Linked DNA regions of Stegostoma tigrinum. The protein of the gene in region 4 interacts with the protein of the main gene of each other region in a pairwise test. Links are inferred from orthologs where the notes say so. Each region holds a gene or a part of one and is shown on either strand. Other genes may lie near its edges.

Region 1 (7,381 bases), on a different chromosome or scaffold from region 4:
CAATGTTATTTGACATGTGGAGGAGCAGTTGTCTGGAGCAGATATTTTTTCAGAAGCCAAAGTTGGAGGCAGGCTGAGAGGTGTGAATAATAAGAGAAATAAGGAGATGAAAAGCCATCAACCTAGGACACTCACATCAAGTTTTCTCTCCACAGATGCTGCTTCATGCATTGAGTATTTCCAGCATTTGCTGTTTTATATAAAGGAAATAAGGAAGTACTCACAGCATACGTGAACAGCAGTCAGGAGTGAGAAACCTGAATATTTTTCAATTCCTCAAGCAAAGAGTGCCAGGATCCATTGCTGAACTTGCAATTCAGTTAAGATCACCTCACTCATCATTGATCAGTTATTGCAAGGAGACATTGTGTTCTCTGTGACACTACTATACTAGGCAATGCCTTCAGAAGAGCTAATGTTATTGATTTAACTTGGTAGTTCCAAGTTTCGATTGGGGGTACAATTTATAAAAAATTCTCCCAGACCTCCAAGTTACTCAGCAACTGCCGCTGAAATAATTGACAACCTTACCTGTCCCCAGGCATCACAAATGCTAAATCATGTTAGCTGCTCAAAGCCAACTTGAGTAATGATTTCACGACCAGTTTTACAAATGGAGCAGTCCCTGCTCTCCTACAAAAATGCACTTTAGTACCATTAGCTGAGTATATGCATAAGTCTTGTTCTGTAGTTCACTGCTGACAGTCCAAAATTTTCTTTTACTGAAACACTACCTAAACATCTGAAGCATTTTCATGTTACCTTATAATCTTTTAATTTTTCATAGTCATGTGCCACATCTTGGGATGCTGGAAGAAAATTAAATGCAAAAAAGTCAGCAATGTTCTTAATTTTGAGGAATTATGGAGAGGAATAAGATGTCAATGTCCACATAGGAACAAAATGAGGATACAGTTATTCAGGATACCTTATGCAGCTTTCTTTTACGTTTGGAAATTAACAGTAAACAGTAACATGATTCCAAAGGGGATGGAAGAGAGAACAATTTTCTACAGTGGCGATATACTTAACACTAACAGGATTATCGAAGTGGTGGATAGAATTTCCATATTATTGTACACAAGCTGAAAGTAGGTCCTGCTGAAAATGATGAATCAGCTATGGGGGGGTGGCGCAAATATTAATCACCAGTTCTAAGTGTAAATTGTTATAAATTTATAATGATTGGTTCACGTTATGACAAGTCACCAAGAATCTTTTAAAAATTAAATTTTATTATTAAATGTACTTTGAACTAAATATGCAAAAATCATGCCAGCTACTGACACCAAAAAAAGAACTGAATCTACAGGACCTTTTGAAAGTTGTCCGGTAAATTAAGTCTCATGATATAATACTGCATCAGCAGTTACTTAGGTAAGTCTGGTACACAAAAATGAATCAGATAAATTTTGACAACAATAACATTTACTTGTGAAAGAAACTGCACAAATTAGCAAATCATTTTAAATCTATGTCTCGATAGGAAGAACAAGGTTGTGATTGTATGGCCTCCTATTTCTCAGACTATGGGAAAATACTGAAAGAAAGGTAAATATAATCCTTACAGAAAGGATCATAAAATTTAATAAGTAGTAGAACGCTCTGCCAGAGCAACTCTGCCCCAATCAGAAACAAATGCATGTATACAAACAGAGATAGTAGTTTCTGAAGAAGGGTCCTGACCCAAAACATCAACTTTCCTGCTCCTCTGATGCTACGAGGCCTGCTGTGTTTCTCCAGGTCCACACCATGTTACCACATACATACAAACATATGGGTTAACAAAAATGGGCCATTCAGTTTCTTCAGTCTGCTCAGCCATCAAATGTAATCATGGCTGATGCCCCAACTCCACTTTCCTGTCAACTCTCATACCCTTTGACTCCCTTGTCAACCAAGAATTTATGCAATGATCCAACCTCCCCTGCTCTCTGGGGAAGGAAATTCCACAGACAGAGGCCATCAGAGGGAAAAGTAAAATCTCTATCTCCCTTTTAAATGTTACTTTAGCCTCTTATTTATATTATGATTGTTTTATTATTATCTTTACTCAAAATCACAGGAACAGTTCACTTATAGTACTTATACAAACAACAAAAAAAAGTAAATGGCACAACTTAAAAAATATTACCTTGGAATGCATTCTCACCATAGATTATACCTGTACAGGTATATAATGACCCTACTGGCTATGTGCATCCATCCTATTATGTGATTAGTGCCCATAAATTTGCATATTTGATTTCACAGTATCCTTTTTTCTTAGATAACTCAGCATTGTTGCAATTATATTTAAAGTGATTAATCATTTATTTTGAAAATAAAAAAGCCTTCAAGAATAGAGATAGTAGGAACTGCAGATGCTGGAGAATCTGAGATAATAAATTATCCAGCTCTACACATTGTTATGTCAGCCTTCAAGAAGTTTACTTTTCCCCTTCAATAATCAAAACGAATGCAGGAATTCAATACCCTGCGAAAACGATGCAGTAGTCAGACTACAATGAACAAAAGCTTTAGAGAATGTCAGTTAATTTTAGCTCACCGAGCATTAGCCAGGACTTGACAACACCAATTTTCAGATCGAGGCTGGTGTCCTCGACATATCCGCAAACTCCATCCGTTTGTTGAGCATCTTCCACTATCTGCACTCGAGCGTCTCTCAGTGTTTCAATAAGTCTTTTCCCAGTAATGGTTGTTACTCTGGTGCTCTGTTTCTTCAGCGAAGCCTTTGAGAAAGCCTTGATTTCATCGGCAAGTGAATACATCACATTTCAATGGGAGAAACAAGTCACACAACAGGGAGGAAAGGCAGTAAAATGTGCTAACACACTGAAATGAAATTATCAAAGAATGCTACCACACACAGTAATCACTGAACTGAACAAGTGTCAAATAAATTACTTGCACCTAAACATATTTAAATCAAGCGTACTTTCACAATACATTCTCTGTTCATTTCCCTGTTTTGCACGCTTGCAAAGCATCAGTGAAAACGCCAACCACAACACTTCCAGAGTTAGTAACATAAATAAAGCAGAACCCGACGACTCCAAGCCTACTGCCACCTACACCAGGAAGACCACAGTTAGTTGCTTCGCTTTGGTCAGGACTATACAGGGTATGCGCTGAATTGTTTCGGAAAACTGAGAACATGCAACATGATAACGGAGGTGCAACTAATAATTTGTGGGATTGGGAAATTCTCTTTACAGGCAGTCTATCTCAGATGTATTCCAGAAGACGTATCTATCCAAATTGAGAAGTTATAAAACAAAGATATTTAATCGTATGGGAATTTTAAATATATCAGTGAGATCAACAGTAACTAAAACTCATAGCCCTAGAAATGCAACTACATAAAATCTGGTGTCAAACACGAAAATGGGAGTACTATGCGAAAAGGTGAGAGTATAGGCACAGAAAAGTCTTGCTATAGATGTACAGGCCTTCTTTGTGATCACACCTGGAATAAAAGTGTGCCATTTTGATCTCTTACCTTAGAGATCTACTTGCCATGGAGGGAGTGTAAACAAAGGTTCACTAGACTGACTTCTGGGATAAGAGGTTTGTTATATTATATTATATGATAAGAAGGATGTGGAAGCTTTGGAAAGGGTGCAGAGGAGATTTATTAGGATGTTGCCTGGTATGGAGGGAAGGTCTTATGAGGAAGGGCTGAGGGACTTGAGGATGTTTTCATTAGAGAGAAGAAGGTTGAGAGGTGGCTTAACTGAGACAGTATTCACTCTAGAAAATGACAATGTTGTCGAGGACAATAATGAGATGCAGGATACTAGACTAGGTGCGTTTTAGGTTCACAGGGAAGACGTATTAGAAATCCCACAGACTGTGAAGATAGATAAGTCCCCTGGGCTGGCTGGGATTTATCCTAGGATCCTCTGGGAAGCCAGGGTGGAGATTGCCAAGCCTTTGGCATTGATCTTTAACTCGTCATTGTCTACAGGGATAGTGCCAGACGACTGAAGGGTAGCAAATGTGGTTTCCCTGTTCAAGAAGGGGAGTAGAGACAACCCTGGTAATTATAGACCAGTGTGCCTTACTTCAGTTGTTGGTAAAGTGTTGGAAAAAGTTTTAAGAGATAGGATTTATAATCATCTAGAAAATAATAATTTGATTAGGGATAGTCAGCACGGTTTTGTGAAGGGTAAGTCGTGCCTCACAAACCTTATTGAGTTCTTTGAGAAGGTGACCAAAAAGGTAGATGAGAGTAAACCGGTTGATATGGTGTATATGGATTTCAGCAAGGTGTTCGATAAGGTTCCCCACAGTAGGCTATTGTACAAAATGCGGAGGAATGGGATTGTGGGAGATATAGCAGTTTGGATCAGAAATTGGCTTGCTGAAAGAAGACAGAGGGTGGTGGCTGATGGGAAATGTTCATCCTAGAGTTCAGTTACTAGTGGTGTACCGCAAGGGTCGGTGTTGGGTCCACTGCTCTTCGTCATTTTTATAAATGACCTGGATGAGGGCGTAGAAGGATGGGTTAGTAAATTTGCAGACGGCACCCAGGTCGGTGGAATTGTGGATAGTGTTGAAGGATGCTGTAGGTTACAGAGAGACATAGATAAGCTGCAGAGCTGGGCTGAGAGGTGGCAAATGGAGTTTAATGCGGACAAGTGTGAGGTGATGCACTTTGGTAGGAGTAACTGGAATGCAAAGTACTGGGCTAACGGTAAGATTCTTGGTAGTGTAGATGAGCAGAGAGATCTTGGTGTCCATGTACACAGATCCTTGAAAGTTGCCACCCAGGTTGACAGGGCTGTTAAGAAGGCATACAGTGTTTTAGCTTTTATTAATAGAGGGATCGAGTTCCGGAACCAAGAGGTTATGCTGCAGCTGTACAAAACTCTGGTGTGGCTGCACTTGGAGTATTGCGTACAGTTCTGGTTACCGCATTATAAGAAGGTCTTACGAGGAAAGGCTGAGGGACTTGAGGCTGTTTTCGTTGGAGAGAAGAAGGTTGAGAGGTGGCTTAATTGAGACATATAAAATAATCAGAGGGTTAGATAGGGTGGATAGGGAGAGCCTTTTTCCTAGGATGGTGACGGCGAGCATGAGGGGGCATAGCTTTAAATTGAGGGGTGAAAGATACAGGACAGATGTCAGAGGTAGTTTCTTTACTCAGAGAGTAGTAAAGGAATGGAACGCTTTGCCTGCAACGGTGGTAGATTCGCCAACTTAAGTACATTTAAGTCGTCATTGGACAAGCATATGGATGTACATGGAATAGGGTAGGTTAGATGGGCTTCAGATTGGTATGACAGGTCGACACAACATCGAAGGCCAAAGAGCCTGTACTGTGCTGTAATGTTCTAAGTTCTATGTTCTATATAGGGAGAGATTTGGTCTGCTGAGCCTGTATTCACTCACATTTAGAAGAATGAGAATTGATCGATCAAAACAAGATATAAAATTCTAACAGGCTTGGACAGACTGGATGCAGGGATGATGTGTCCCCTGGCCTGGGATTCCAGACAGGGGATCACAGTATCAGGATACATGGTAGGCCATTTTAGATTGAGTTGAGGAGAAATGTTGTTGCACAGAGGATGGTGAACTTGTAGAAGTCTCTACCACAAAAGGGGTCAATTCACTGGATATTGTTAAGATATAGATTTTTACAGATTGGCGTCAAGGGTTGTGGGGTGAGACTAAAAACAAAAAAAATGCTGGAGATCACAGCGCAGGTCAGGCAGCAACCATGGAGAGAAAGCAAGCTTATATAACCAGCAAAGCTAAAAGAAACGGAAGGAATGTGTTCACAATCTGAAGGTGTTGAGTTCAACATTGAGCCCAAAAAGGCTATAAACTGCGTAAGATATTGCTCCTCCAGTTTTTGCTGTGATTCGCTGGAGCATTGCAGCATTCTCCGACGCTGTGCCCTTTCTCCCCTCCCCCACAATCCACTGAGACTTTCTGTTCTTTCCAGCCTGGCAGTTAGACACACCATTGTTTTGCCATTCTCACATTCCGATAAGAAGCTCAGTGGGCTCAATAGCCTATACCTTTTCCTATTTTCTGTTTTCTATGTTTCCGCTTCACAATGCAAGAAACTGTATTCATGCTAGCAATGCCACTGGGCACACATCATATACATCATGTCTACTCAAGGTCCTTACCCACCTCATCCACTGCAACCATAAGCTCGCTTGCCTTCTGCCTCTTCTCCTGGTCATGAATCACCGCTAATTGCTGTTGCATCTAATTACATCATACTCAATTTCACCCTTTGTTTCATCGCAGGAGAAATTACATTGCAACTCAGCTGACATCAGGTTCTCATTTGGTATGAAGAGGAACTTCTGGACTTGGCTAGAACAAAGCAGAACGACTCATGTAGGGTATCCTGAAGGGTGGCACCAGTGGGCAACAAACACAGTAAGCTTCAATGTGCTGTGTTGTTCTCCCATTTCCACCAGTTGTGGCTCTATCCCCAACAACTAATTTCCTATTTTCTTTTGAAGGCAGTAGGGGTGCCCAGTGAAGTTCCACAGGGTGACCAATGTCAAAATCCCTCAGCTGCACCTCCACTTCTGAGGAGGAGGAGGCTCAAACCTCAGAAGGTACACTGGCAAGACCTTCACCTGCACGCTCCACCAGTTCAAAGACTTCCATCTCAGTGGGTGCTCCATTTAGATTAGACTCAGGAGGCACAATGTTTTATACAGAATACTAAGACATATCTACAACTGATTGAGGGTTAACTACCAGAGGTCTCTGGCCCAGGCAGAAGATGTGCACTTGCTCTAAGCCATAAATGACTTGCTCTGTCTGCACAGAAAATCAGGCAGCAATGTCAGACACAGTGAGTAAGCCAGATCAACGGATAAAGGATTCCATAAGTATTCTCTACTCCATTGACTCCAGCTTGTGAGCATCTGGCTACCTCCATGCCAATCTTGGTAAGCACTTTGGAGAGCCAGATCCAGCAGAATGCTCAGTCTCTGCAAATACATGCTCAAACCTAAACTTCATTGTTTTAATCTTTGCCAGCATTAATAACAAGAGGGACCTTGATGGTATGCCAGGTGTCCTTACCTCTCAGGGAAACAGGCACACAGATGGTGGAGGAGTGACACAAAGGCACCCCAAAGGTTTCTTCTCTGCAGACTCCAGAGGTGCCTGGCCCCTGAATCTCCCCCACATGTAATCCCAAAGTCTGCCACAGTACAAGATGAAGAGGGGGAATGGGGCCCTTAGGCCCAAAGGCGTCAGAGGATGACAGTCCAAGTCTCCCAGGTCAACAAGGAGAACCACAATTCAGGGCCTTCCACCCTGAGCTATGAACTTCAGACCCGCATGTAGATGTAGTGAGAGGGAAAGGAATTGAAAATATCCTGTCATGGACAAAGGG
Region 2 (6,842 bases), on a different chromosome or scaffold from region 4:
AGGATTCCCTAACTTTAGTAAACCAGATGGATATTTATGACAATCAGCAATGGTTACATGGTTGCCATCAGAAAAGCTTTTGTAATTTCAAATTTTTTTTAATTGAATTTAATTTTCACCAACAGTCTTGCTGGGATTCAAACCCATGTCCCCAGAACACTAGTTCTGGATTGTAAATGACTAGTCCAGTAACGTGACCATTACACCATCACTTCCTCCAAGTATCTCAGTGTCAATCTTGAATAAACTCTAACTGCATGTTTACAGCACTCCTCGCAAAAAGAATTCCAAAGACTCAACTCTCAGAATCAAGACATTTTTCACCTTAGTCTGAAATAGCTGAACTTCATAACCTGAGACTGTGAACTCAACCCATTCCAATATTCAAGCTGTCAAATAGTCCCAGAATCAGCTTTGTTTGAATTAAATCCCCTCACATTCTCCAAAACATCAAGCAACGGGCAGGTTCATTCAGTATAAATCCACACAAGCAGCCAATGTCTGCGCCCTTTACCCAATTCCACAAAGTGGAGCAGACAGAGGGTTGGACTCACATCCAAGAGCCTGGGTCTTTGTGTGGTTCTGTTGCCACTTACCACCCCCAGGAGGGCCTATTGCTGCCGTGCCAACCCCAGGATGCTGGAGTGGGTCTGTCTCCCACTCCCACCCCTAGAACCACAGTAATTTTAAAGTTCAACTCAAATTCTTACCTGCCCTGTTTCATATTTTCCTTGTTGCTTGAGTGCCTCAAACACTCCAACTGGCTCCAAAACTTTGCCTTCAGGACGATTCCTGTGAAGACAAACGAAGCTGGACTTCAGAACAGACCTCAATGACAGCGCTGACAATCTGCAATCCCCAATCAGTCACCAAAGTACTAGTTGCTTGAGCCACCTTTTTGCACAGCACATGATACTGCCACTCCCAGAAAATAAGAAAATTTAATGGAGTATACAGCCATTCAAAGGCAAGTGACATTTGTGCTATTTAAATGACAGGTAATGACCATCTTTAACAATCGAAGATCTAACCATCACCTTCTGACGTTCAATGGCACTCTCCCCACCATCAACATCGTAGACATTATTGTTGACCAGAAATTGAATTGGACTAGCCTTATAAATACTGGTGCTACAACAGCAGGTCAGACGCTGGGAAATTTGTTCATGGGCTATGACAGGTGCTGGCTGGGCTAGCATTTATTTCCCATCCCTAATTGCCCCAGAGACGGTAGTACAGATCTGTCCTCTTAAACCTGTGCAATGCCTGGGATGTAGGCTCACAAACAATACCATTAGCGAGTAAGTTCCAGGATCTTGATCCAGCAACAGTGAAGGTACAACGATAAATTTCCAAGTCAGTATGGCGAGCAGCTTGGAGGGGAACTTGCAGATGGTAATGTTCCTATGTCTGCTACCCTTGTCCTTTGAGATGGAAGTGGTCTTGGATTTGGAAGGTGCTATTTCGCAGTGCATGTTGTAGATAAGTAAACACTGCTGCTACTGAGTGTCAGCGGTGGAGAGTGTGGCCATTTGTGGATGTAGTGCCAGTTAGGTGGACTGCTTTATCCTGAATGGTGTCAAGCTTCTTGAGGGTTTTTGGAATAGCAAGTGGGGAGTATTACACCACATGCTTGATTTGTGCCTTGTAAATGGTACACAGGCTTTGGAGAGTCAGGAGATGAATTACTCACCACAGGTAGTCCTAGCCTCTGACCAGCTCTTGTAGCCACTGCATTTATGTGGGTAGCCCAGTTCAGTTTCTGGTCACTGGTAACCCCCAGGATGTTGACAGTGGGTGAATTCAGTGATTGCAACACAGTTGAATGTCAAGGGACAGTGGTTAGATCTCTCGTACTGGAGCAGGTCATTACCTGGCAGTTGTGTGGCATGTTTCAATAAGGTCACCTCTCATTCTTCTAAATTCCAATGAGTACAAGCCCACTCAATCTCTCCCATGTCCTGCCCAAGGCAGTGTCCAGATCCATCCTTATCCCCAGAGATAATGGGAACTGCAGACGCTGGGGAATCCGAGCTAACAAAGTGTGGAGCTGGATGAACACAGCAGGCCAAGCCACATCATAGGAGCACAAAAGCTGACATTTTGGGCCTAGACCCGTCATCTCCTCACTGGGTTCAAGCCTTGCCTCATGCCCCTACACCTCTGCACTCCGAATCCACCACCCTCTGCTCTCTCCCCGGATCCCACGCACAGCTTGCTGTGACCTGTTGCTGGGTGCAAGATTCTAGGTGCTTTATTCCCCACTTTCTCGACATGTCCTGTCACCTTCAATGATTTTATACCCCAGGTCACTCTGCTCCTGATTCTCTTTAGAATTGTTTTCTTTAGCTTATGATGGCTCTCCATATTCTCACAACCAAAGTAAACCATCTACAAACTCACAGAAGCATTGAATATACATTAAACTCTTTACATTAAACTGAATCTGTCACTTATCTCCCCAATCCAACTACTTGCGCCTGCTTTTTCCAATTTTTGTGTCACCTGCCAATATTGATTATGCCCTTCACTAAAGTTCCAGCTGTTAACACGTTACTGGTTGGTGCAGCAGATAAATCTGTCAGGGAATGTCCCAGAGGTGTAGGAACCGCGGATTCTGAAAACAGAGAAGATCCCCAACCCCAGGCCCGGGGCCTGTGTCCCTGGCCTCCTTCCTACCTGGACGACAGGAGCCGAGCGTGCTGCTGGCGCTGGCCCACACCGCAGGCCGAGCAGACGGTCAGGGCCCGAAGCCGGAGAGCGGGGTTTGTGGCCAAGGCCGAGAGGCAGCGGCTCAGAGCCGGGCCCGCCATCGATCCTGCAGGCCCGACGGTCAGCACATACAACTCGAACCGGCCTCGGAGATGGGCAATACCCGAGTCCGCTTTCTTACGGCGTTACTGCAGGCCAAGACCCCTCGGCGGCGGGCGGCCCCTATCTCTCTGTCTCCCCCGGGGACGGCAGGCGGCGGGCAGCCTCTCTCTGTCTCTTGCCCCGATCCCGGGACTCTGCCCCGAACAAAGATGGCGGCTGCGGTCTGGCAGGTTGCCATGGAGACGGGGCCTAGCGCGGCTTGAAGCCTGCGCCGCCGATTCAAGGTCAGAGCCGCAACAGTAGCTTGTGTCAAATAATGCGGGGGGGGGGGTGTTTTTTTATTCATTATCTGAAAAAAATTGTAAAATTTAATGCTCAAGACATTCAGTCTGGGCGGCAAAAGTGACTATATTGTATAATAAGCGAGTATTATGATAATAATACTCCCATTAGCAAGCTTCATCGCTGTTTATAAATGATTGTGCAAAATAATGTCCTCATTCTTCAAATCCTCATAAAAGACTCATTATATTTAACTATTTGGAATAGTTTCTGTGGCTCAAGGACTATAATGAAATCGTTAAATTCCTAGGAGGTAATTACTTATCATTGAATTTTCTTTTCAAATAATTGTCGAGCTTTTTAAAGTCGGTGTGTAAGTCGTTATTTACAGGTTATCTCCTTGCTCAGGTTGGGGACAATGGCGTGTGTTCTGAAGGTCAGGGATTGCTTCAAGCAGCAACTCGACCGTGTCCTGAAAGAGGGTCATTCTATCCCTGAGGATCTACATTCTGAACTCAAATCCTGCCTCGGCAAAGCCCATTCCCCCTGCACAGTCTCCTTCGAGCTGCTAAGAAAACTTCACAAATTCTTACAAGAAAAAGGTGAGTCATCCAGTTCTGGGATTGTCACCCCTGTGTTAACCAGCCTGAATATACTGGCTGGAACAAAAACAGAAGTTGCTGGAAAAGCTCAGCAGTCTTGCAGCATCTTGTGAAGATGGAAGTTCTGAGGAAGGGTCACTGGACTCAAAAATGTTAACTCTGAGATAATGGGAACTGCAGGTGCTGGAGAATCCGAGATAACAAGGTGTAGAGCTGGATGAACACAGCAGGCCAAGCAGCATCAGAGGAGCAGGAAGGCTGACGTTTCGGGCCTAGACCCTTCATCAGAAAAGGCCATTTCTGATGAAGGGTCTAGGCCTGAAACATCAGCTTTCCTGCTCCTAAGATGCTGCTTGGCCACGTTAACTCTGATTTCTCTTCACAGATGCCATCAGACCTGCTGACCTTTTCAAACAACTTCTGTTTTTGTTTCTGATTTAGAGCATCTTCATTTCTTTCAGTTTTCATTGAATGCAATGGCTGCTGTTTATTAGATACTAGCTAGTAAATTACCGCATGCCCAGATTTGGAACAGTTCTTCTGACATTTTGAAGATTTACAAGGATGTTGCTGAAGTTGAAGGGGTTGAGCTATGTGGAGAGGTATAATAGGCTGAGGCTATTTTCCCTGGAGTATTGGAGGCTGAGGAGTGACCTCATAGAGGTTTATAAGACCACGAGGGGCATTGATAGGGTAAATAGGAAATGTTTATTTCTCCGAGGTAGGACAGTCCAAAACTAGAGGGCATAAGTTTAGGGTGAGAGGGGAAAGATATAAAAGGGACCTAAGGGGCAACTTCTTCACACAGAGGGTGGTGCATGTATGGAATGAGCTGCCAGAGGAAGTGGTGGAGGGTGGTATGATTTGAAGCATTTTAAAAGGCATCTTTTAAAATGGATACATGAATAGGAAGGGTTTGGGGGATAGGGGACAAAAACTGGCAAATGGGACCTCATGGATGCACAGTCTTGAGTTGCTAGACCTGTTTGAAGTCAGTTCCATTTAGCACAGTGATAGTGCCACACAACACAGTGGAGGTTGTTCTCAAAGTGAACGTGGGAGTTCATCTCCACAAGGACCGTGAGGTGGTCACTCTTACGAATAATTTCACGGGCAGATGCATCTGCAGCCAACAGATTGGTGAGGATGAGGTCAAGTAAGTTTTCCCCTGTTGTTAATTCCCTCAAATACCAGGCATAGACCCAGTCTAACAGCTATGTCCTTTAGGACCTGACCAGCGTGATCAGTAGTACTGCTGCTGAGCCACTTTTGACGGTGGACATTGAAATTCCCCACTCAGAGTACATTTTGCACCCTTGCTACCTGCAGTGCTTCGTGCAAGTGTTGTTCGCCGTGGAGGGGCACTGATTCATCAGCTGAGGGACGTTGTTATGTGGTCATCAGCAGGAGGTTCCTGGGGTCCTTGGTCAATGATGAATACTCCCAGGACAATTCTCTCTCAGTTGTTATTCAGTTCCTGTTCCTGGCAGCTATGTCTCCATAATCCTGACTATATTATATTTGTTTTTATCTTGTGCAATTAATTTGTTCACTTGATTGTGTATGCTCTGTGGATGAAGGTACAAAGTGTTGAGGCTTGTGTTTTTACTATTACTTGTCCAGTTTGAGCACGGCCTTTGCTTCCTCTGTTAGTCAATCACTTTTCTTGTTTCCCCTTCCTGTGTTTTGTTCTTGTCATTGATTCCGCTTCCTCTGACAACTTACACAAGTTTCCATTTAATTGAAACATATAAAATAATCAGAGGGTTAGATAGGATGGATAGGGAGAGGCTTTTTCCTAGGATGGTGACGGCGAGCACGAGGGGGCATAGCTTTAAATTGAGGGGTGAAAGATATAGGACAGATGTCAGAGGTAGTTTCTTTACTCAGAGTAGTAAGGGAATGGAACGCTTTGCCTGCAACAGTAATAGATTCACCGACTTTAGGTACATTTTAAGTCGTCATTGGATAAGCATATGGACGTACATGGAATAGTGTAGGTTAGATGGGCTTGAGATCGGTATGACAGGTCGGCACAACATTGAGGGCCGAAGGGCCTGTACTGTGCTGTAATGTTCAATGTTCTGTGTTCATTTAAAGCCATCCTAGCCACTCAACTCAATGTTGCCCTGGGACACCCTGCCCAGAAGTAACCCATTCAGTTTGTACTATTGTACCTTCCCCAGAACCAGCCCCAAGACCCTATGATCTGAAAACCTAATTTTAATCCTAAGGTTACTACCTTTGTGGTCCTACTTTTAAACTTATTTCCTAGCTCTGTATGTTCTGCTTTTTAGGACCTCATTTTTTTATAACCTATGTCATTTGTACCAATGTGTGCCATTACTACTGGCTGTTTACCTAGCCCTCCAGAATGGCCTTTAGCTCCTCTGAGATTTCCTTGTTCTGGCAGGAGCAAAGCAACATACTATCCTGGTTTGTGGCCACAGAAACACCTGTTTATTCCCCTTACATTTGAATTGCATTCCCACACTTTTTAATTATCCCTTATGCAGCTGAGTCAATCATGGTGCGACAAATTTGGCCTTCGCTGCTTTCCCCTGTGAGGCCATTCCTGTCATCAGTATCCAAAGTGTTAAGTCTGTTTTGCATGGCAGTAGCCACAGGAGACTCCTACATTGCCTTCTTTCTCTGCCTTGTGGTAACCCATTCCCTTCCTGCCTGTGATGTGACCACCATTCTATATGTGCTGTCCATGATACTCTAGGCCTTGTAGAACAGCACAAAGGGACTTGCAGGAGCCGCAGCTGGAGGCATTTCCTGCACATGTGCTGATCCTGGAAACTGGAACAGCACAGTGTGGCTTTGAGCTCCACTGCCATGACTGACCCCTTTCAAATTAAGCCTTTAGGTTCAAATGCTTAATATCAACTAATATCAATTACTTCAGAGCCTATATTCCCTGTTCTTCATTACTAGAAAATAAAGTCCTTACAAACTACAAACCACAGAAGAAAAGGCAAAAAGCACCACTTAACCTCTGCACTGAATTTCGACTCCAAATTCGCAGAAATCCCCATGTGCTTTGGCTGTGTCTCACTCAGGATGTGTTCGCTTCCAAGTGTTCATGATTTGTTTGACAACCTTCCTCTAGTTTCTCATCGAGATGCTGCCTTTTGTGAC
Region 3 (7,445 bases), on a different chromosome or scaffold from region 4:
GCGCCCTCCCCTGCTGAGATTGAAAGCAATTTTTAATGAAGAAAGCTGCAAGCAGATCACAGATTTTTTTTTTGAAAAGCTAACAAAATAATATTATTGATAGTTTTGGATTATGATGGGAGAGGTCCTCAAAAGGTATGTAAAACATTGAGCATACAATTGGGGGAGGTGATGGCCTAGTGGTATTGTTGCTGGACCGTTAATCCAGAGACCCAGATAATGTTCTGGGGACCTGGTTCGAACCTGCCACAGCAGATAGTGGAATTTGAATTCGATAAATATCCAGAATTAAGACTCTAATGATGATCGCGAATCCACTGCCGATTGTTGGGAAAAACCCATCTGGTTCAATGATGTCCTTTAGGGAAGGAAATCTGCCATCCTTACCTGGTCTGGCCTACATGTGACTCCAGACCCACAGCAATGTGGTTGACTCTTAACTGCCCTCTGGGCAATTAGGGACGGGCAATAAATGCTGCCTGGCCAGTGACACCCTCATCCCGTGAATGATTAAAGGAATTACCTATAACTAAAATCCGTCTTTTAAAAGCAGACAGCATCAACTATCTTTTCAAAATCCAAAAAGATAGTATCCACCATCTCACTTTCAATCAACAAACCATAAAGAAATAGCAACAGAGGTAGACCATTCAGCCCCTTGAACCTGCTTTGCCATTCAATAGGATCATGGCTGATTTGACATACATCACGCCCATTTTCCTGCCCTTCCCCACAATCCTTGATTCCCCTACTGATCAAGAATCCATCTAACAATCCATCACAGCTTAAGTATTCTCAAGGACTCTGCACAAGCCACAAACTACTTATTGTGTTTCAATGCTGGCTGGCTTTCTTTTGCACTCCTTTGAAAAACATCAACATCAGCAGCTCACAATACAGCTCTGAGTAGCATCCCAAGGCAATTAAATTTAAACATTAATACCATTTGTCAACATATTCAGCTTTTAGTGTTATTCCCTCTTAAAATCAACCTTGGAATTTATCCAGTGCTGTTTTCCCCCAAAAATTAACCACTTCATACAATTTGCAAACAAAAACATTTTGCTCGATATTACAGAATTTGCTATTCAACGTGTCCCAATACAGAACTTTGCACGGCAGACAGTGATAATAATATTGTTGGACAAAAAGGCACATTTCGTCAAAGCTGCTCATCAGGCGTGTATTGTGTCAGAGTTGGTTATCTCAGTTGGCTGCTCATGATTCAGAGTGATGCCAACATTGTGGGTTCAATTCCTAGCACCAGCTGAGTGGCCTTCTCAACTCCTCCCCTCACCTGAGGTGTGGTGACCCTCAGGTTAAATCACCACCTAATCCCTCTCCCTAATGGAAGGTAGGACTATGGCAACTTTATCTTACATTTCTTGTCTATTCTGCTGATGAGTGCGAGACAAAAAAACTTTGACAAACGTGTCTTATTTACCAGCCATACTCAAATACTATAGAACCAAACGGCTGATTGTAATGGTTGGAAATATTTATAATGTTTCCCATGTCATCTGTGCATCCAGAGAACAAATGAGTTGCTTTAACCCCATGCCTAGGAGATAAACTCTTCCACACTTGAGATAATTTAATCCATAAGTGGGACAGTGACACCATTATTCTGTCAAAATGTGCGTTATCATTCAGAAGAAGTTTCTGGTGACAAGTAGACTAATTTTCCTGCTGGGAGTGATAAAAGCTCCCACTGTCAAAAGATGTGCAGGTTAGGATGGACTGGCCATGCTAAATTGCCCATCGTGTCCAGGGATACGCAGGCTAGATGGACTAGCCTTGGGAAATGCAGAGTCACAGGGATAAGGCAGAGGGGTGGGTTTGGGCGGAATGCTATTTGAAGAGTCGGCTTGGGCTCATCTGCTTCCGTACTGTAGGGATTTTAAAATTGCTGCATGTTAGGAAGGTAATTCAACACATCAGCTTTACCCTGGAGGAAATATTTTTAAATTTTGTGATTATGCTTGAAGTTCATCCATCAGACCATGTATAGAAGCTGGTTTTGTTATGCAAAACGTCAGAAGTCACAGAGATATTAGGAGTTGCTGGACCTGATTACTGAATTAGCCTGACGGTCAGAGGTTTAAATGCTTTGGCATTTGCTAGGCTTCATTCTATTATCAAAAACCTTTAACACTTTTACTGAGGATTATTAAATTGCATTGCGCAGAGGATTAAACTCCACCCATCTCAATAAGTCACTGGGATTCCACAATACAGATGAAAACAGGTCAGAAAATTGTGTAATAAACTAAAATAGAAGTTCAAAATAAGCAATGTGTGATCAGTCCGTGTGAGCAATATTTCATCTACAGTATACTGACTGGGCTGCAGATTGATAGTCTAAAGTATTCATGTCAAACAAATACATTGCAAAGTCCTTTTAACAGTTCATATTGGAGATTAAAACAATGTGGACAGATGTTTAAATCTCAGCATCAGAACCTTTCACGTTGTTCATTCCTGCTTTAATCAGACTTCTTAGAGTTACCTCAGCTGACACACCCTCCCCTCCTGAACTTGAAAGCAGCTTTTAATTAAGAAAGCCACAAGCAGATCACAGATTGTTTTTTGAAAAAAAGAAGAAACTTATTGATTGTTTTTGGATTATATGGGAGAGGTCCTCAAAAGGCATGCAAAACATAGAACATATAGTTACCCATAAATAAAATGCGCTTTTCTTTTAAAAAAAGGCACAAGTATAAATATATACGACAACACTTACTTGGTTTTGGGGGGAGTTACATTCTTGGGTTTCTTTTTAAACATCTTGGCAGTCCCTGGTTTCACGAGGAAACGATAAAAATCCTTATCCCCCACAGACGCAGTTTTATTCTCTCTCTCTCTCTAACCCTCGCTCCCTTTCTCTGAAGAGTTGATAAAGAGAGAGCTCTGACTTCTTTGCTCCAGTAACACTACAGAGAGTGTGTCAAGTGTGTGTATGTGTGAGGGAGATACACACCGAGCTGCTGAGCTCACCTATAACCTCCTCCTCTGCCTCTCCCACACTATTTACCTGAGACTTCCAGCAGCTGATTGACAGGTGCAGCCACGCAACACCCGCCCACCGTATCGACACCGCCCCCTCTGCATTCCCATTGGCCGCCCTTCTATGGTTGCACGGCAACCCCGCCTTGATTGGCAGACAATGACCACGCCCCTCAGCCCTCCAGTTGCTTTTGGTGGCTGGCTTGGCACCTCCCAGCTCTTACCTGGCCCCCAGGTAAATTCTGAAGAAGATCATTGGGCTTGAAGTGTAACTTCTGATTTCTCTCCACAGATGCTGCCAGATCTGATGAGCTTTACCAGCACTTTCTGTTTTTGTTTCTGATTTCCATTATCCACATTACTTTTTCTTGGCATCTACTGTGAAGAGTGTATCTGGGACAATGGAGTATACTCCCTTTAAATATTGAACACAGTTCCTATCTGCTTAACTTTAAATGATGTTGTTAGGACTGGAGGGCTTCAGCTATAGGGAGAGGCTGAATAGGCTGGGGCATTCTTCCCTGGAACGTCGGAGGATGAGGGGTAAGCTTGTGGAGGTTTATTAAATCATGAGGGAATAGCCAAGGTCTTTAAATAATAAAGTGTAGAGCTGGATGAACACAGCAGGCCAAGCAGCATCTCAGGAGCACAAAAGCTGACGTTTCGGGCCTAAACTCTTCATCAGAGAGCTCTGATGAAGGGTCAAGGCCCAAAACGTCAGCTTTTGTGCTCCTGAGATGCTGCTTGGCCTGCTGTGTTCATCCAGCTTCACACTTTATTATCTTGGATTCTCCAGCATCCGCAGTTCCCATTATCTCTGAGCCGAGGTCTTTATCCGAGTGTGGGGGAGTCCAATGCCAGAGGGCATACGTTAAAAGTGACAGGGGAAGGATTTAAAAGGGACCTGAGAAGTACCTTTTTCACACAGAGGGTGGTGCATGTGTGGAGCGAGCTGCCAAAAGGTCGTGGTGGAGGTGGGTACATTTGTAATATTTAAAAGGCATCTAGATGGGTACATGAATAGGAAGGGGTTAGAGGGGCGCGGGCCAAATGCTGTCAAATGGAACTAGGTCAAGTTGATATGTCTGGTCAATGCGGGCGAATTAGACTAAAGAATCCATTTCCATGACTCTATAGCTTGAAAAGACTGGGTAGGTAAAAACAAGCTATTTCCACTCGCTGAAGATTCTAGAAATAAGGAATTAGTCTGAAAATTAGGGTCAGACCTTTTAGGAAAGATACTGGGAAGTACTTCTACAAGAAAGTGTCGCAAATATTTGGAACTCCCTTCCACAAATATTGGAGGCTGGATCAATTGTTAATTTTAAGCCTGAGATAGGTAAATTTTTTGTGAAGCAAAGGTATTTAAGGGATATATGCCAAAGGCAAGTAAATGGAGTTAGGCCACAGATCAGCCATGATCTATGTGAGTGGCCGAGGAGGGTCTAGGGGCTGAATGGCCGACTCCTGTTCCTATGTTTTTCTAAGTGAACTGGGCAGCAGGGTGGCTCAGTGGTTAGCACTGCAGCCTCACAGCGCCAGGGACCCAGGTTCGATTCCAGCCTCGGGTGACTGTCTGTGTGGAGTTTGCACATTCTCCCCATGTCTGCGTGGGTTTCCTCCGGGTGCTCCGGTTTCCTCCCACAGTCCAAAAGATGTGCAGGCTAGGTGGATCGGCCATGCTAAATTGCCCATAGTGTTCAGGGGTGTGTGGGTTATAGGGGGATGGGTCTGGGTGGGATGTTGCATGGGGCAGTGTTGGCTTGTTGGGCCGAAGGGCCTGTTTCCACGCCGTAGGGAATCTAATCTAAAAGAAGCAAGGGTGAGGCAAAGGAACATATTTTCAGTCAATGAGTAGTTGGTGGAGGACACCTGGAAATGTGGTGGAGGCAGGTTCAATTGTTACAGCTTTATAAAAATTTGGCTAAGCCTTGGTTAGAGTATTGTGTTCAATTCTGATTGCCACATTACAGGAAAGACGTGGGGGCTTTGGACAGGGTGCAGGAGAGGTTTACCAGGACGCTACTTGGATTAGAGGCTATGATCTAACAAGAGGCTAGAAAGAACTCAGGTAACTTTCTCTGCAGCAGCAGAGGCTGACGGGAGAACTGATAGAAGTTTATAAAATTACGAGATGGATAGATAAGGTTCACAGTTAGAATCTTTCTCGCAAAGTTGAAATGTCTAATGCAGGGGGGCAGGGTGAGAGGAGACAAGTTCAAAGGAGATGGGAGGGGCAAGTTTTTTTTACACAGAGAGTGGTAGGAGCCTGGAATGCTCTGCCAGGATTGGTAGAGGCAGATATGATAGGGATGTTTAAGGGATTTTTAGATAAACACATGAATATGCAAGAAATGGAGGGAAATGGACCAAGGGCAGGCAGAAGGGATTAATTTATTTTAGGTGACACATTCGGCACAAATTTATGGGACAAAGGGCTGGTTCCTGTGTTGTAATGTTCTATCTTCTAATTGAGGCATTCAAGGGGGCATTGAATAATTATTTGTACAATATTAACATGCAAGAGTACAGGGGAAAAAGCAGGAAATTGGCATGAGGTAATGATGTTCATTTAATGAGCTTGCGTAGGCACAATGGGCTGAATGGTTTCCTTCCAGACCGTAACACTTCTGACTCTGTGAAAGGGGTCTCCCATTTAAGACCATAATGAGAAAGGAAATTTTCTCTCCAAGGTTCATTAATCTCTGGAATTCTCTACTCCCGAGAGCCATAGACTATTAAATGTACATCTATGTTAGATAGATTTTTTTGATCTACAACGAGCCAAGGTAATGGAGAGCACATAGGAAGTGAAGTTAAGGCCTCAGCTATGTCCACCATGATTTTATTGAACAGCAGAGCAGGATGGAGGGTTAAAATGGACAACCCTTAGCCCTATTTTGTACCTTTTATGTCGTAGATGTCCTAACAGCCTGTAATATATGACTGCTTTCAATAAACTGAAGTCTAGGACAAAGCAGCCCACTGGATTGGCACCACATCCACAAGCACCCATTCCCTCCACCACCGACACTCAGTAGCAGCAGTGTGTACTATATCCAAGATGCACTGCAGAAACTCACCAAAGATCCTCAGATAGCACCTTCCAAACCCACGACCACTTCCATCTAGAAGGACAAGGGCATCAGATACATGAGAACACCACCACCTCCAAGTTTCCCTCCAAGCCACTCACCATCCTGATTTGGAAATATATCACCGTTCCTTCACTGATGCTGTGCCAAAATCCTGGAATTCTGTCCCTAATGGCATTTTGGGTCAACCTACAGAGAAGGACTACAGCGATTCAAGAAGGCAGATCACCACCACCTTCTCAAGGGGCAACTAGGGATGGGGAAGAAATGCTGACCCAGCTGGTGATGCCCACATTCCAGAAAAGAATAGAAAAAAAATTCCTACACAACGCCTTAGTAATCAAAACTTCTCAAAACCCTTCACTCAATCATCCCAAGCAGTAGTTCCTTCAGTTATGTAGACAAAACTTGAAGCCATTCTGAAAGCAAAGTCTAACAATGCAACATTCCCTCCATTGACAAACACCTGGCACTACCACCCCCCTGACATGGCTCACCTCAATCCCTACTTCAGCCCAACTGCTACTGAAACTTTTCCACATTTTCTTCAGATCTCCAGGCAGAGGTATTCCGATTCTCTCTCTGTCACCTCGTCAGCTTCCATCCTCCATGAATTGGTTCCCTTCCTGACAGGGAGGAGCTGTTCCCATTGGTGGAGGATCGAGAACCAAAAGACTGCTCCTGGCCTACATCACTCCAAACCTTTCCTATTCATGTACTTATCCAAATGTCTTTCAAACTTTGTAATTGTACCCACATTCACCACTTCCTCAGGAACTGCATTCCATGTGCAAACCGTAGTCTGTGTAAAAAAAATTGCACCTCATTTCTTTCTCAAATCTCTCTCCTCTTACCTTAAAAATGTGCCCCTCGTCTTGAAGTTCCCCCATCCTAGGAAAAAGACAGCTACCATCAACTGTATCCATACCCTTGTTATTTTATAAGGCCTCCTCTCAACCTCCCACACTCCAGCGACAAAAGTCCCAGCCTACCCAGCCTTTCTCTATAACTCAAACCTTTCATACCCGGCAACATCGTGTGCTTTTCCAAACCCTTACATGCTTCATCTTCAACTTTTCATTCACTGCAAAAGCTTCACAGTTTCACCTTCAAGATGTTCTTCAATGCAACAAAAATATAAGGTGAAGTTGCCAAATCTGTACGCACGAGTTGCTTTTTATTCGTTCATGGGATGTCGGTATCATGCGATAGACCACCATTAATTGTCCAGAGGGTAGTTTGGAATCAACCACATTGCTGTGAAATCATGACCTGCATATACTTCTCGAAAAGACATTAGTAAAATAGTTGGGTAGTCCTGGCAATCTGCAACAGTTTTCATGG
Region 4 (7,384 bases):
TGTATAATTAAACATTTAAACATGCTACCTAAAACAAGTTGCTTAATTTCAGTTAGCAATTGAAGATCTTAAATTGGCAGATGAGGCTTGATTTAGTTGAAGAAGGGGAAAAAAAATGTTGATTGGTGCATATTTATTGGAAAAGTGGGTGATCGGCACAGAAGCCCAATGGTACAGGATAATGTTGTGGAACTGTGGGTTTAAATACAGCCATGGCAGCCGGTAGCATTTTAATTTAGGTAGGGATGAACATAAAGGTGCCGTACAAACAATTGACTGGATTTGATGTGATAATGGGAACTGCAGATGCTGGAGAATCCAAGATAATAACATGTGAGGCTGGATGAACACAGCAGGCCCAGCAACATCTCAGGAGCACAAAAGCTGACGTTTCGGGCCTGGATCCTTCGTCAGAGAGGGGGATGGGGTGAGGGTTCTGGAATAAATAGGGAGAGAGGGGGAGGCAGACCGAAGATGGAGAGAAAAGAAGATAGGTGGAGAGGAGAGTATAGGTGGGGAGGTAGGGAGGGGATAGGTCAGTCCAGGGAAGACGGACTGGTCAAGGAGGTGGGATGAGGTTAGTAGGTAGGAGATGGAGGTGCGGCTTGGGGTGGGAGGAAGGGATGGGTGAGAGGAAGAACAGGTTAGGGAGGCAGAGACAGGTTGGACTTCTCTTTCGATTCCTCCCACTTCCTACAGACAAAGGGGGTGGCCATGGGCACTTCCAATTCCCTGGCCCCCAACACCTCATTTTCACCATGGACGTCCAGTCCCTATACACCTGTATTCCACATGCAGATGGCCTCAAGGCCCTCCGCTTCATCCTGTCCCGCAGGCCCGACCAGTCCCCCTCCACCGACACCCTCATCTGTCTAGCCGAACTCGTCCTCACCCTCAACAACTTCTCTTTCGATTCCTCCCACTTCCTACAGACAAAGGGGGTGGCCATGGGCACCCGCATGGGCCCCAGCTATGCCTGCCTCTTTGTAGGTTACGTGGAACAGTCGCTCTTCCGCACCTACACAGGTCCCAAACCCCACCTCTTCCTCCGTTACATTGATGACTGTATCGGCACCGGCTCTTGCTCCCCAGAGGAGCTTGAACAGTTCATCCACTTCACCAACACCTTCCACCCCAACCTTCAGTTTACCTGGGCCATCTCCAGCACATCCCTCACCTTCCTGGACCTCTCAGTCTCCATCTCAGGCAACCAGCTTGTAACTCATGTCCATTTCAAGCCCACCAAATCCCACAGCTACCTAGAATACACCTCCTCCCACCCACCCTCCTGCAAAAATTCCATCCCCTATTCCCAATTCCTCCGCCTCCACCGCATCTGCTCCCAGGATGAGGCATTCCACTCCCGCACATCCCAGATGTCCAAGTACTTCAAAGACCGCAACTTTCCCCCCACAGTGGCCGAGAATGCCCTTGACCACGTCTCCCGCATTTCCCACAACACATCCCTCACACCCCGCCCCCGCCACAGCCGCCCAAAGAGGATCCCCCTCGTTCTCACACACCACCCCACCAACCTCCGGATACAACACATCATCCTCCGACACTTCCGCCATCTACAATCCGACCCTACCATCCAAGACATTTTTCCATCCCCACCCTTGTCTGCTTTCTGGAGAGACCACTCTCTCCGTGACTCCCTTGTTCGCTCCACAGTGCCCTCCAACCCCACCACACCCGGCACCTTTCCCTGCAGCCGCAGGAAATGCTACACTTGCCCCCACATCTCCTCCCTCACCCCTATCCTAGGCCCCAAGATGACTTTCCGTATTAAGCAGAGGTTCACCTGCACATCTGCCAATGTGGTATACTGTATCCATTGTACCCGGTGTGGCTTCGTCTACATTGGGGAAACCAAGCGGAGGCTTGGGGACCGCTTTGCAGAATACCTCGCTCAGTTTGCAATAAACAACGGCACCTCCCAGTCGCAAACCATTTCAACCCCCCCTCCCATTCTTTAGAAGACATGTCTATCATGGGCCTCCTGCAGTGCCACAATGATGCAACCCGAAGGTTGCAGGAACAGCAACTCATATTCCGCTTGGGAACCCTGCAGCCCAAAGGTATCAATGTGGACTTCACCAGCTTCAAAATCTCCCCTTCCCCCACCGCATCCCAAAACCAGCCCAGTTCGTCCCCTCCCCCCACTGCACCACACAACCAGCCCAGCTCATCCCCTCCACCCACTGCATCCCAAAACCAGCCCAGCCTGTCTCTGCCTCCCAAACCTGTTCTTCCTCTCACCCATCCCTTCCTCCCACCCCAAGCCGCACCTCCATCTCCTACCTACTAACCTCATCCCACCTCCTTGACTTGTCTGTCTTCCCTGGACTGACCTTTCCCCTCCCTACCTTCCCACCTATACTCTCCTGTCCACCTATCTTCTTTTCTCTCTATCTTCAATCCACCTCCCCCTCTCTCCCTATTTATTCCAGTTCCCTCTCCCCATCCCCCTCTCTGATGAAGCGTCTAGGCCCGAAACGTCAGCTTTTGTGCTCCTGGGATGCTGCTTGGCCTGCTGTGTTCATCCAGCTTCACACTTTATTATCTCAAGTTTAATTGGCTGGGATTTGGCAATTAGCACAACTCAAAAATTCTAGAGTAAAAAAACCTGTACGAATTTAACATGAATTCCACTGGGTGTATTGTGTAACAAAGTTAAGTGGAAATGTGTTGATTTTCACGTTCATACTTTTGCACTGATTTAATGTTTTCTATGGCAAACAGTGGTGGCGTGTTGTACTAGTAGTTTGTTTTTTTTTTAAAAAGGCATGATTTGCAAATGAAAGAAAAGCAATCCCTGGACACCCATACGTGATGACTTGACAGCAATGAATTTGTAATGTACTGACAGGCTCGTTCACATTTTTCACAACACTGGGGCATCCAAAGCCCTTTGTAACTTCCGGGGTAGTTTTTAACTGTAATTAATGTTGAAACTCCGTAGGTTATTCGTTCATTATTATTGCATCAGAAGTTGCTTGCTAACTTCCCCTTGCGTCAGTATCTGAACACGTACACTTCCAGCAATTCCCCAACGATCAGGATTGGAGTTCCCCCTTCCCCGCTCAGTTGCTATTCATGTGAAATGAATTGGACACAGTCCAAGTCTCCGCTTTGAAAGTTTAAACAGACTTGTTTTGGTCTGTCTCTTAGCATTAAAAAAAATGATTTCTCTTGTTTTGTCCCTGTGTGAGGATTAAGTTAGTGAATTGTAGCATTTTTCATTGCCTTGTGTCAGTGAATGAACAAATTGCATATGCATCACTCCAGAGATCAGGTACTAAAACATCACCAGCACGTGTCACTCAAGTTTGGAGGAAAGTGTATATGATTTCGCAAGCCCTCTTGAGATATCTTCATATTGTGTGAGTGAGTGCTGGAAAGGGTCATTGTGCAGAGTACGTACAATTAGGGGGCCTTTCCTGCATTATCTTGGCCTGGCCCTGGACTGTGAAGTGGCAATGCACTCGCGACTTTCTGTGACCCATCTGCATTCCAGCCCGAGAGAGTAGAAAGGATGATCCCTCAAAGAAAGCAATTTCTTCTCGAGCTGTTGGGGAGTTGACATGCAACTGTGCAGGTCGTCACAAAAAATTATATAGTTAAGCCTGAGAAGGTGGTGCTGTGACAGTAGTACTGTCAATGAGCTAGCAATCCAGAACCACAACACTAACGTTTGGCTTCATGTGGTGCATGCTATGACATGTACAGGCTGCAATGGGATCATGTTCTTTAATCCGTTCTCAAGTTGACTTGTACTCCAGTCTGAACGTGATTGTAGGACAATATGAAATAGCTTTCTTTTAAGTACAGGAAATATTTGTATGTCAGATGTTTAAAATTACACCTTAGTATGGGATCATGTTCATAAGTTGGATGTTTGCAAATTGGGGGGGCCCCAGGATATCAACAGGTTAATTACAAATCTGGTTGAGGAGGTGGTGGTACAGTGGTAATGTCACTGGGCCAATCATCCACAACCTCCTGGTGATCTAAGAGCAGAAGTTCAAATCACACCAGGGTGAATGCTGTTAAAGGGGAGGGACGGCAGTTGTGCCACAACGGTCCCGTGGACCCAGGTCCAAATCCCAGAGGTATGTTTGTTTGTCAACCCACGGGAACAGGATGATCTGAAAGAACATCTACACTAGAGGGCGCATGAGCTTCAGAAGGTTTGAAGTCAGTGGGCGGGGACAGGTGCGTGGATAGGGGCGGAGCAATTTGGGGAAGGGGCGGAGATAGCTGGGAAGGGGCGGGGTCAAGGGCTGGGGCGCGGTCGACTGGAAGGTGGGACTGACGGGTGGGGCGTGGCGGACGGGGAAATCTCGCGATATTCGTCTGCTTTGCTTAATGTTATTACCGGCGGTGCCGCGCGGCTTCTCTTCAGTTCGTCCTCAGTGCAGGACAACGAGAGCGAGCGACCCGGTTACAGTCAAGGTGGCCCTCGGCGTAGGACAACAGCGGGAGAGACCGAGCTATTTACAGTCCAGTTCGTCCTCAGTGTAGGACAACAGCGGACGGGACTGAGACTATTACAATCTAGCCTGGCTCAGTCGCACACCGCACCGATAGCCGAGGCATAAGAAGTTGCTGGAAAAGCTCGAGCAAGTCTGGCAGCATCTGTGAAGAAAAGAAATCCGAATTAACGTTTCGGGTCCGCCGACCCTTCCTCAAAACCGCTATCCGTAGCATTAATAACTGGTAAGGCACAGACATCTGTCGGTGTTTTCTTCCAAATGGGATTTGTTGGCTTCCTGCCTATCCGCGGCGACTAGGCCCTGTTATCCCGGTTACTCCGGCTGTGCTGCTGCCTGCTCCACAACAGGGACAAGGAGAGGGAGAGGTTCCCTTTTGCCTGGGGGATGGGATGGGAGGGGAGGAGAGGCGATAACCTTTAAACCAGCTTTAGCCAAGCAGTAGATTTATGGGCTCGGACTTCACGGGGTCTCCGAGGTGGGCTCCTGTGTCGTGCTTCATGTTCTCTTGTTTATGAAGCTGAAATGTTCCTCAGTTTTTTTCCAAACAAATGATCAGCTTGTTGATTCTCTTCCGCTTTCCGTCCTTTCACGTATACGGGAACTGTGGCTCTGTCAGGAATCATGGGCCCAACTGTTTAAAAATTGAGAAATGTTGGGGTTTTTTTCCGGGTTTTTTTGCCCTACATGGAATAGATCAAATTCTTTCAGAGGCGGATAAAGGTCATGTAAAATGTTAGGACCGCTCAGCTGATTAGGTTGCATTTGTAACGGTGGAATACAGGTGAAGAGTCATACGCCTGAAATGTGGACTTGGCTCCATTCTCCACAGGTGCTACTGATTTGAGTCTTTTCCAATGCTTTTCTGATTCCTCTGTAGTTGATGTGCTACTTATTGTAAAACTCACCTACTTTGTGTTTTAAATGAAGTGTCCTTTTAGGAAAAAAGGATATATATTTGCCAAACTTGTACCTGTTTATGTTGAGTACTCTAATGTCAAAATGTGCTAATCTTTAAAGTGCATAACTACCTGCCATACTTGTATTCTTTAGATGAATTTACAGGAGTCTGATATTCTATTTTGTATTCTGTTCACAATGCAGGGATTAAATAAACTCTACCTGAAAGTGTATACCTGCAACTATGAACTAGTTTATGGAGAAATACATTAATTTCTTGCTTAGATGTGTGATATCTATGTGTGAGAGCATAGATAGGTTATATGATTTTTAAAAGAATTTGAGGGTGAACAACACAATAATGCAAGCTTTGTCTTGTAAAGAAAATGCTTTGACTGCAAAGCAGATATTTTCAATGAACACTAATTTCAATCCCTAACATTAATTTCTGTCAGTGGCTTTGCACATTTTTTAGCTCAATTTTACAGCTCTTTTGTGGATAATTCACAATTTCAGTTGTGAACTGATGTTAGCACTTCCAAGCTATTTTCAGTTTTGAAAACATAGAAATTTTAATATGCCCAATGTCTCATTCTAGTTCATTGGTTAAAATAAGTGATATTACTGTGTCAAAATGCAGCTACTGTGAATGTTGCTCTTTAATAACACCGTTTACTTCCCTCTGACCTATTGTCACAGTTTTGAGAGCTATGAATAATAGACTTGCTCATCATGTTGCATCATAACATCATCAATCTGCAGTAAGATACAGTAGACTGGTCCTTTGTGACTCTGGCAGTTCCACAAGCTAATTGAAGGAGGAAATATATTGCAGAAAGTTATAATTATCCCTACACTTGTAATTTTGCATTTGACTGTACTATGTTTTTGAAATGGTGCGAGAAAGATACTGTAGGTGGGGTCTGAGCTTTGTGCTGTTTATGTGCACATCCAACTTGGATGCCATTAGACAATCTAAATAGATACAGTATACTGTTTCCTCCTTCACATTTGCCAGAAGTCTGGCAACAGAAAGTTTCAACATCCTGTTATGAGCCTATATTTCTAATATTTGGATTTTATTTTTGAATCGACTCAGATTTCTTTTTAAATGTTGAAGGCTCCCATTAGATAAACATTCTAAAGATTTGAATTCAACAATAGTCCAGTAAATCAAGATGTTAGAGCTTAACTGTTGTGACTAACTTAGAACAACGTGCAATTGATACAAATTCTGAAAAAAAAATTCTCAATGTAGCCTAAACAATGGTAGGATATTACCTTATTGGAGGTCTTTCAGGTCTCAAGTTCCTGGGAGTAGCTTATTTACTGTAGTATTCTCTACAAAAGTTGACTTTGTTTTCACCCCTGTTATCACTTTCAACCTGAGGGATCATTTGAGACGGAGCTTGTCTGACTGAGCTATAACTGAATCTTGCTTTAGAGATTACCGCTGACAGAAACATTAAACAGTTAGTAATCAGGCTTGGGGAGTGGGGGAGGGGGGTGGTAAATATCTAGAAAATGTGAGATTGTGGAAATTCTAAGTGGAGAAGTTTTAAAAAGTGGTGTTTTTGTTTGATCTGTCATTGGAATCTCTTGTTTTTAGAATCCCTAGGATCCAAGGAATTTCAAGAGTTTGAGTTAAAAATTGAATGGGCTTGAGATTTTCGCAACTGCCAGTTTTAAGAAAAAAACTCTGGAATATTTCCTAGTAAAATAGAATTTGAGCTCATTTACTGTAAATCAGTGGCCTTGGAAATTAAAAGACTGTTTAGTGCAGCTGGCGACTGGTACGGCTCCATGAAATCCTCATTTAAACAGGAGTTTAGCTCATTCAATTATCTGACGCCAGAGTGTCCGTAATTTATAAGAAATATTGAGAGATTGATCTGACATTGGTAAAACTAGGAGTTGTCACTTTATTTTCTTGTCACAAAGGTTCCAGTTACACTCAGGTTATTTTTACAGCAGGGTGAGAGGATAAA

The links.
Region 1: the proteins of alas1 (region 4) and dusp19a interact in a two-hybrid assay, tested with the Homo sapiens proteins (3 studies listed by BioGRID and IntAct). The two-hybrid records come from large-scale screens. The link is inferred for Stegostoma tigrinum from reciprocal best matches to the Homo sapiens genes ALAS1 and DUSP19.
Region 2: the proteins of alas1 (region 4) and poldip2 interact in binary tests that used the Homo sapiens proteins (3 or more experiments, as listed by UniProt). The two-hybrid records come from large-scale screens. The link is inferred for Stegostoma tigrinum from reciprocal best matches to the Homo sapiens genes ALAS1 and POLDIP2.
Region 3: the proteins of alas1 (region 4) and ppl interact in binary tests that used the Homo sapiens proteins (3 or more experiments, as listed by UniProt). The two-hybrid records come from large-scale screens. The link is inferred for Stegostoma tigrinum from reciprocal best matches to the Homo sapiens genes ALAS1 and PPL.

The regions. Positions count from the first base shown.
Region 1 is NC_081360.1:40,834,821-40,842,201, forward strand, and holds the start of dusp19a (dual specificity protein phosphatase 19a), read right to left. Parts: upstream 3,019-7,381; 5' UTR 2,772-3,018; coding exon 2,549-2,771; intron 810-2,548; coding exon 763-809; intron 1-762.
Region 2 is NC_081380.1:48,677,730-48,684,571, forward strand, and holds the start of poldip2 (polymerase delta-interacting protein 2), read right to left. Parts: upstream 3,023-6,842; 5' UTR 2,814-3,022; coding exon 2,680-2,813; exon of another isoform or gene 2,579-2,679; intron 793-2,578; coding exon 711-792; intron 1-710. Other genes in the region: tmem199 (transmembrane protein 199), read left to right, coding at 3,515-3,698. UniProt on the Homo sapiens protein: Involved in DNA damage tolerance by regulating translesion synthesis (TLS) of templates carrying DNA damage lesions such as 8oxoG and abasic sites.
Region 3 is NC_081376.1:46,890,315-46,897,759, reverse strand, and holds the start of ppl (periplakin), read right to left. Parts: upstream 3,014-7,445; 5' UTR 2,788-3,013; coding exon 2,744-2,787; intron 1-2,743. UniProt on the Homo sapiens protein: Component of the cornified envelope of keratinocytes. May link the cornified envelope to desmosomes and intermediate filaments. May act as a localization signal in PKB/AKT-mediated signaling.
Region 4 is NC_081364.1:23,022,378-23,029,761, forward strand, and holds the start of alas1 (5-aminolevulinate synthase, nonspecific, mitochondrial), read left to right. Parts: upstream 1-4,379; 5' UTR 4,380-4,722; intron 4,723-7,384.